Macaca mulatta: one gene and its partner. The protein of the gene in region 2 purifies or fractionates together with the protein of the main gene of each other region. This does not show direct contact. Links are inferred from orthologs where the notes say so. Each region holds a gene or a part of one and is shown on either strand. Other genes may lie near its edges.

Region 1 (4,362 bases), on a different chromosome or scaffold from region 2:
GATGACAGAAAACTAAGCCATTTGCTGGCCAGGCATGGTGGCTCACACTTATAATCCCAGCACTTTGGGAGGCCAAGGTGGGCGGTTTACCTGAGGTCAGGGGTTCAATCTGGCCAACATGGCGAAAACCCATCTCTACTAAAAATACAAAAATTAGCTGGGTATGGTGGTGTGTGCCTGTAGTCCCAGGTACTTGAGAGGCTGGAGCACAAGAATTACTTGAGCCTGGGAGACGGAGGTTGCAGTGAGCAGAGATCGTGCAATTGTACTCCAGCCTGGGCTACAGAGCAAAACTGTTTCAAAACAACAACAACAAATAAGAAAACAGAAAACTAAGCTGTTTGGTTTACCAAGCCTATATAAATTGCCTCTCATTTATTATAGAGGTAACAAAAGACCCAATAACTGGGAGAAAAGGCAAGTGTTGAAATAACAACCAAATCACTCAATATTTAATTTGCTTTTATGGCAGAAAAACAGCTAATACCTGCACTTTATGATTCAATCACTGGCCAGAGAGGGAACTCCAGGACTTGAAGGACCAAGTCCTTTTAGGCTCTGGGGGCACATTCCTCTCTGTAGTGTATTCTTCTTTAAAAATTTTTACAATCCTTTAAAATTGTAAAAACCATTCTCACTTCATGGGCCTTAAAAAACTGGCAGAGTCTGGGCGCGGTGGCTCACGCCTGCAATCCCAGCACTTTGGGAGGCCGAGGCAGGCAGATCACAAGGTCAGGAGTTCGAGACCAGCCTGGCCAACATGGTGAAACCCGTCTCCACTAAAAATACAAAAATTAGCTGGGTGTAGTGGTGCGTGCCTGTGATCTCAGCTACTCAGGAGGCTGAGGCAGGAGAACTGCTTGAACCGGGACCCAGGAGGCGGAGGCTGCAGTGAGCCAAGATCACGCCATTGCACTCCAGCCTGGGCAACAAGAGTGAAACTGTCTCCAAAAAAACAAAACAGGCCGGGCGCGGTGGCTCACGCCTGTAATCCCAGCACTTTGGGAGGCTGAGGCAAGCGGATCACGAGGTCAGGAGATCGAGACCATCCTGGTGAACACTGTCTCTACTAAAAATACAAAAAAATTAGCCGGGCGTGGTGGTGGGCGCCTGTAGTCATAGCTACTCGGGAGGCTGAGGCAGGAGAATGGCATGAATCCGGGGGGTGGAGCTTGCACTGAGCAGAGATCGCACCACTGCACTCCAGCCTGGGCGACAGAGCGAGACTCCATCTCAAAAAACAAACAGAAAACCAAAAAACAAAACAAACAAACAAACAAACAAAAATGGCAGAGGACCAATCCCGCTGACCAGTTTGCAGACCCTGGTGCAGTGTAAACAACCTTGATGTCATGAGACTTGCAGTCTAGGACATTGTATTTCTTCCTCTCTTTGGGCCAGTCACCTCATCCATGAAATAAAAGGCAGAGAAAGAGGCTATCTCCCAGATTTTAATTTTTCTCAATGATAAGTTATGGATCTCTAAGGTCCTAGGAGACAAACACGTCCTCTGCTTAATCAAGTCTTATACTCCCATACATTTAATGGCAAACACTAAATGCCAGTTATAATTTCTGTTTTGTACAAGAGAATCCAAAGTTCAAGAGAAAGGAAAACCCGGAAGATAGCTTAGGAACCAAGATAAGAATGGAAGACTGCTCTAAGCCAGGGGCTGGGGAAACCTCCCCGCCTCCATTCTTACTCTTCTCCAACCCACTTCTCTCCCAGCAGCCGAATGAATCTTTCTAGAAGCTGAGAGTAACCACTCCCTGACTTAACACCTGGAAATACAGGGCTCTCAGGGCTCACTCCTTCAGGATAAGCCCCTGCCTTGACAACTTCATGGGTCCTGGTCTCCCCTTATCCCCACCCCAGCGCTCTCTACTCTGTTGTCTGAACCAGCCACCCCCAAGTTCCAACAGTTCTCAGAGTCAAACCTTTCTTGGGCACTTCCTAGGTACAAGCGATTGAGAGGAGCAAATGAATGACTATCTGTACTGTTGCCCAAATACACTGCACACCAGAACTCCCCTCTCTTTCCCTCTTAGAGACGTTAGGACTGAAAGGAAAGGATACAACCCCTTTCTATAACCATAGAAGAGGCTGCAGGGAGGCTGAAGTGACTTGTCCAGGTTCACAGTTGAATTAGAACCAGGCTCCACACCACTGATTTGAAACCCTGGAGTCCTGATAGGGCTGTCAATCTGAAAGGGACATCAGTGGCCTAACTCAGCCCTCTCGGTGCACAGGTGTAGATACCCAGGGCTTCTCAGTCCGCCATCTCCCGAAACTTCATTTATCAGTCCCCAGCCAGACGCACCTCCTCCTCCTCATCAGGTGTGTCACGCTCACTCTTGCGGCCGCAGGAGGCCACACGCGGGTCCCGGGGTCATGGGGGCTACCGGCAGCTGCGCGCCCCGGCTGGCCGCCCACCCCACCTCCTGTCTGCCACCCGAGCGGGGAAGGGGCGCCGCCCCCAGGGACCACACTCACTTGGCGCCCGCGGCCTGGAAGAGGTCGGCCCACTCCTCCGGGTGGAAGAAGCGCGCGGTAAACTGCGGCCCGAAGTCGGCGTAGCTGAAGCCGGGCGGGTAGTTGTCGCGCATGAAGCGCTGGTACTGCGGCCGCCCCTCGCCCTGCCAGTTCCACCAGAACCACTCGCTGCCCCAGGCGGGCACCGAGAACACGCCCCAGTGGATGAACACCCCGAACTTGGCTTCGTCGAACCAGGACGGCAGCGGCCTAGAATCCAGGCTCGGCCAGTCCGGGGTGTAGCGGCGCAGAGGCTGGGCCCGACGCACCGACTCGGTCGCTCCGAGGAGGAGGAGCAGCAGCAGCCACAGCGCGGCACCCGCCGGCCGCCACCTCTCCCCCGGAGCCCGCATTGCTGCCCGGAGGCGACGCGGCCCACTCTTAATGCGCAGGTGCTGGCGCACGGCTCCGCCCACTCTGACTAACGATTGGCCCGGAAGGAAAAAGGGGTGGGACAACCCGGATAGGTTGGCCCCAGTCGCTTCCTCTTCGGGTTGGCGGAGAGCCCTCTGGTACTCTAATCCGGAAAGACGTAGGGAGGCGTTGACAGCGCTTCGCTGAAGGACGAATAAAAACCTTGAAAAGGGACTTAACTGCGAGGTTAAATCGTGGAGGTGAGCAACGCCCAGTGTGTTCGGAGAACTCACATTTAAGAAGTCCATTGAGCCAGGCGCAGTGGCTCACGCCTGTAATCCTAACACTCTGAGCCCACAAGTTGGAGACTAGCCTGTCGCTACAAAAAATAAACAAATTGAGCCTGGCGTGGTGGTGCACCTCTGGAGTCCCAGCTACTCAAGAGGCTGAGGTGGGAGGTTCGGGATCGCTTGAGCCCGGGAAGTTTGGGCTGCAGTGAACCGAACCGTGATCACGCCTCTGGGAGTAATCCATTTTGCTGCAGCAATCCTGCAGGGGTAGGCTGAAGTCAGATCACAAGTTTTTTTTAGTGATCACTTGGGAGCCATAGGGGGCTGGAGGAGGAGATACCAGACTGGAAGGGTATCTAACAGCCCTGACAGAAATAAGGAGGTAGACGGATGATGGGAGGAAACATTATGAGGGGAGAGGAGGGAGAAAAGTAGGTACTGAAAGAGGGGGAGTGGGCAGGACCGTTTCATCTGTCTAGTATTTACTGAGCTTTCTTTGGGAATTCTGAGGCATTTCAAATAGCTTAGCTTCTACCGACATCACGCCACTGCACTCCAGCCCGTGGGCGACAGAGCGAGACTCCGTCTCAAAAAAAAAAAAAAAAAGAAAAAGAAAAGAAAAGAAGAAAGAAAGAAAAGAAAAAGAAAGTGGAGAGCCAAGGGGACCCAGGCCAAAGGATTGCCTGGCAGGGAAGTTCCCCAGTTCCTCTGCAATTTGTACGTGCTGCACATACTCAAACGGGAGGTGAGGCTATTAGCGAGGGAAATACAGAAGTCAGAAGTCTCTGACCGGACAAGGTGGCTCACGCCTGTAATCCCAGCACTTTGGGAGGCCGAGGTGGGCAGATCACCTGAGGTCGGGAGTTTGAGACCAGCCTGGCCAACGTGGTGAAACCCCATCTGTACTAAAAATACAAAATTAGCCGGGCGTGGGGTGCGCCTGTAATCCCAGCTACTCAGGAGGCTGAGGCAGGAGAATAGCTTGAACTCCGGAGGTGGAGGTGACAGTGAGCCAAGATCGCACCACTGCACTCCAGCCTGGGCGATAGAGCGAGACTCCGTCTCAAAAAAATAAATAAATAAATAAAATAAAAGAAGAAGAAGTCTCATGACCCCACGTAGCACTCTCAGTTCCCACATGCCAGTGAGAGAATGGCAGCACTTCAGAGTTGGAAGGGACTTTGAA
Region 2 (3,801 bases):
ATATACCAGACCTGAAGAGAAGGGCCCATTAACTCCTGCAATTGGGTTTGGGAAGGGGAAACTCTCTGAGGAAAGGGAGGCCCCAGAGGGTAGGGACAGGGCAGAACCACGGGAGGAAGAGCCAAGTGGCAGAAGGAAGAGAGGAGCAGGAGGCTTGTGGCAAGCCCGGTGGCCCGGGCAGGGCCAGTGCTGGCTCCAGCCCTCTCACCTGAGCGTCTCCACTCGGTCTTTGCTTTCAGGTTCATTCAGGTTCCTCAAAAAACAGAGCGAGGGAGAGTTTAGTGCTGGGATCTCTCGCTCCTTCCGCCGCCACAGACCCAGATGAGAGTGGGTCTGGGGAGGTGCCACCAGTGGGTGGGCAGGACCCAAGCCCAGGGCCCTCTGCCCATCACCTGGCAAGCCAACAGGGCTCTGCAGCACCTCACACTGGCGGCTCAACCATTCCTTTCCAGCAGGGAGCCCAGCACATGGGGCCTGTCCCTCCCCACACTCCCAGATCTGTGCCGGGGAGAAGGAGCCTCCGCTCTGGGGGAGGAGGGGGAGTGGCTGTGCACGCACTTCACTGAGCACACCGAGCACACAGCCGGGCACGAGGCTGCTCCCCCACAGCCAGGGCTCACGCGCTGTTCTGGGGGTTGCGGGTGTGAGTAAGTTTTTGGAGCCACACGCTAGGGTCTCAGGACTGCAGTCCTTTTGGAGGAAAGGGGCTGCAATGCTTTGGGTCTCTGTAGGAGGAGGGGCTGTGGCTACGCAAGGGTCTCTGTCAGAAGGCTCAAAGTGCCAAGGCCTGGGTCTGCATGGTAGGCACCTGGGGATGGGTGCCTGCTGCTGAGTGGAAAAGGCCGCCTCCTCCGACCTTTCCCAACTCCCCTACCTGCTGGCCTGCCAGGCCATCTGCTCATACACAGGGAGGACGAGGGCGGGGCGGGGCAGACACCTTGGGTGGGTGGGTGGGGAAGAGGTCTGGCCCCGCTGAGCGGCTTCTCCAGCTCCTGGCTGGAAGATGGGTGTCTGGAGCTAGGAAATTGGGGATTGCAGAGGGAGGATGTGAGAGGAAGGAGAAAGAGCAGCAGCACATAGAAATAAACAGGAAGACACAACCAACACAGGGGTGCACACAAGCGCACTGCGAGCAGGGAGCCCGGCTGTGCGAGGAAGGCACCCGCCCCGCTCTCTCCAGATGCCTTGTGGGGCAGCCCCCTGCTGGGGCCCCTTGAGGCAGCAGCCAGCCAGGCAGTCAAGCGCTGGGTGAGAGGAGGAGGGGATGGGGAAAGCCTGAAGACCCTGTCTGGACGTTCCTCCATCAGCTGTGGCACCAATGTGCCTGCCAGGCATCCCAGTTCCAGTGCAGGGCCTGAGCAGACAGCCCTGGGGAACAAGCACTCTTAACCTGGCCCTTGGTCTTCAGCTTGGTATTTGGCCCCCGAGGCCTGCAGAGAGGATGAGCCTAAGGCCAGGGGTGAAACAGCCAGGAAGGGGCCCATGAAGGGAGACCCCTGGGTAAGGGTGCAGAGATCTGTTGTTTTGCTAGGGCTTGGGGTAGAACGGCCCTTGCCCTGGAATGTCCCAGCTCCCGGCACTTTGGAAGGGACAGGCCATATCTGGAGAAAACAGCCCGGAGGAGAAGAGGCTTGATTTATCCAGATGCTGCTGGTGGCAGGGGTGTTGGGGCAGGGGTGCGGGTGGGTGGGGCTAGTCCTGCAGGAGCTGCCAGGAGGGGGTGCTGTGCTCCATTTGTGAGACAAAAGCTCCTAAGGTCTGGAGGATCTAGACTGAAACCTTGGGGCCCCAGGGTCCCTGTAGTGTCTCCAAAGTCCTGCCATCCCATAGGCCAAGGGGAAGAGGTCACACAGCTCTGAAGTTCAGGAAGCCCAGGAGACAGACAAGATACCATCCCAGATGCACTTGTAACCCTGGAGCTTCCTCACAGCGCATGCACATGACAGGGGAAAGGGCCAGGAAAGGATCCCAACACTGACCAAAACCTGGAGTGAGGGGGAGTGGGGATGGGGTGGGGTGGGTGAGAGGAGACAATCTTAAAGGGAGGCTTCCCTGAGACAGTCTCCCCTTACTTGAGGACAGGCGTAACTGTGGGCCCAAGGAAGGCCCCTCATTTTTAAAGCCATTTGCCCTGAGTGGGCCAATGTGGCCTCTTAGCCCTGCCTGTTCGTACTGGGGGCACTGAAGGCAGGCCCTGTGCCGTTGCCCAATCAGAGGCAGTCTTCATCCCTTTAAGATGGCAGAGAAAGGAGGGCCACACAGACTTGGTTAAGCAGATGGAGGAGAGTAAGAGCCAGAAAAGGGGAGTTAGTGATGGAGGCAGGACACAGGACACGGACACACACACACACACACACACAGCGGGCTCAACGCCTACCTTCTGGCAAACCTGAAAGACAGATTTCTAAAAAAACAAACAAAAAAAAGACAAAATAAAAAAAGAAATAAAAAAAAACCAACAAGACGGTATGTGGATAAGCAGGTGGGGAGTGGCTTCACAGGTTCAAGGGTCATCCCATTTTCGGAAGAGCCGCTCAGCGAGACTAGAGTCCCAGGCTTTCAGACCTGCCCACCCTCTCTGCAGGCCTCACACCTGCATTTTGGGGTTCAGATGGGGCAGTGGCTTTGGCTCCTCCAGCAGAGTGGAGTGAAACGTAGAGGAAGGGCAGGCGAGCCTGCTCTCTCAAAGCCCCTGCTGCTTCCTGAGCTGCTACTCCAAGGCAGGGAGAGGAATGGGCATGACAGGGACGCGGAGCATCCCAGGAGGCCAGCCAGTTGGCTGGATGCACTTCAAGCTGCCCCTCTGTGGTGGCTGGGGGCTCAGGTGTGAGAAACCCCATGAAGAGATCCCCACCCTGGGTCCAACACAGGAAAGCTTTGGCACAACCTCTGGTTAGGCCACTGTGGGCCCTCGCCAGTGATTTCATTTATAGGTTTCACCGTAAGAACCCCCGGGCGGAAGGGCATGGCTGTGGCTGCAGCCACAAACAGAACCAGCTAAGGGGAGAGGCAGTCAAAGGGACAAGAGACCAGGACAAAATTTTCCTTGCTGGCCCCAGCCTGGCTCATGCCTCATGACTTTGCAGCTGCGTCACCAAATATAAGTTTCCATGGGAACCCAGGAGAGAAGGGGGGGCTTTTATTTTAGCATCTGAGTTCACACTCTCCTAGAGAGGAGGCGGCATCGGCCATCTGCTTGGGGCCAGAGAATGAGGGGTGCCTGTAAGGAGTTGGGGAGAGGCCTCAGAGGGGTGGGCCTGGGCATACAAGGTGTTGACAAAGACCCAATTTCTTGTGCTTCCCCAAGCCTCTTCTAACCCCAAGACCCAATACCAGTACAGAGTGTCCCAAATCCCAACCCCCAACCCCTAACCCACTCCCAGTCAGGTAGGAAGGCCTGGCCTAAGCCTCTCTGCCACCCAAAGCTCCTTGCTTACCTGCGTACAAACTTGGAGGTGAACTTGCTGAAGATGCTCCCAGAGGCCCCCCGCCGGCCCTGGCTGTGGCCAGAGGGAGAGGCTGGGGTCACACCATAGGGCAAATTCTGCTGGTCCCGCACCTGTCGGAGCTGCCCAGCATGGAAGGTGCTTCGGCTGGACACACCCCGGGGGAAATTAGTTCGGTCTGGGGCTCCACCACTGCTGCTGATGTTGTGGGCGGATGGGGAGGCGACAGGGACACGTTGGGGGGCTGTGCTGTGAGAAGAGAAGTGGGGTTGAGGGGGATGAATTAGGGTACAGGACAGCCATCATCACTGGGCACCTGGACACCCTGTGGTGGGGACAGGGAGGGGGATGCTAG

The links.
Region 1: the proteins of MARK2 (region 2) and FUCA1 purify together in Homo sapiens (affinity purification with mass spectrometry; 3 studies listed by BioGRID and IntAct, counting the BioPlex papers as one, with this or other methods). This does not show direct contact. The link is inferred for Macaca mulatta from reciprocal best matches to the Homo sapiens genes MARK2 and FUCA1.

What each region holds. Positions count from the first base shown.
Region 1 is NC_133406.1:217,121,940-217,126,301, reverse strand, and holds the start of FUCA1 (tissue alpha-L-fucosidase), read right to left. Parts: upstream 2,926-4,362; 5' UTR 2,886-2,925; coding exon 2,494-2,885; intron 1-2,493. UniProt on the Homo sapiens protein: Alpha-L-fucosidase is responsible for hydrolyzing the alpha-1,6-linked fucose joined to the reducing-end N-acetylglucosamine of the carbohydrate moieties of glycoproteins.
Region 2 is NC_133419.1:10,507,813-10,511,613, forward strand, and holds part of MARK2 (serine/threonine-protein kinase MARK2), read right to left. Parts: intron 3,696-3,801; coding exon 3,438-3,695; intron 2,405-3,437; coding exon 2,378-2,404; intron 254-2,377; coding exon 209-253; intron 1-208. UniProt on the Homo sapiens protein: Serine/threonine-protein kinase. Involved in cell polarity and microtubule dynamics regulation. Phosphorylates CRTC2/TORC2, DCX, HDAC7, KIF13B, MAP2, MAP4 and RAB11FIP2. Phosphorylates the microtubule-associated protein MAPT/TAU.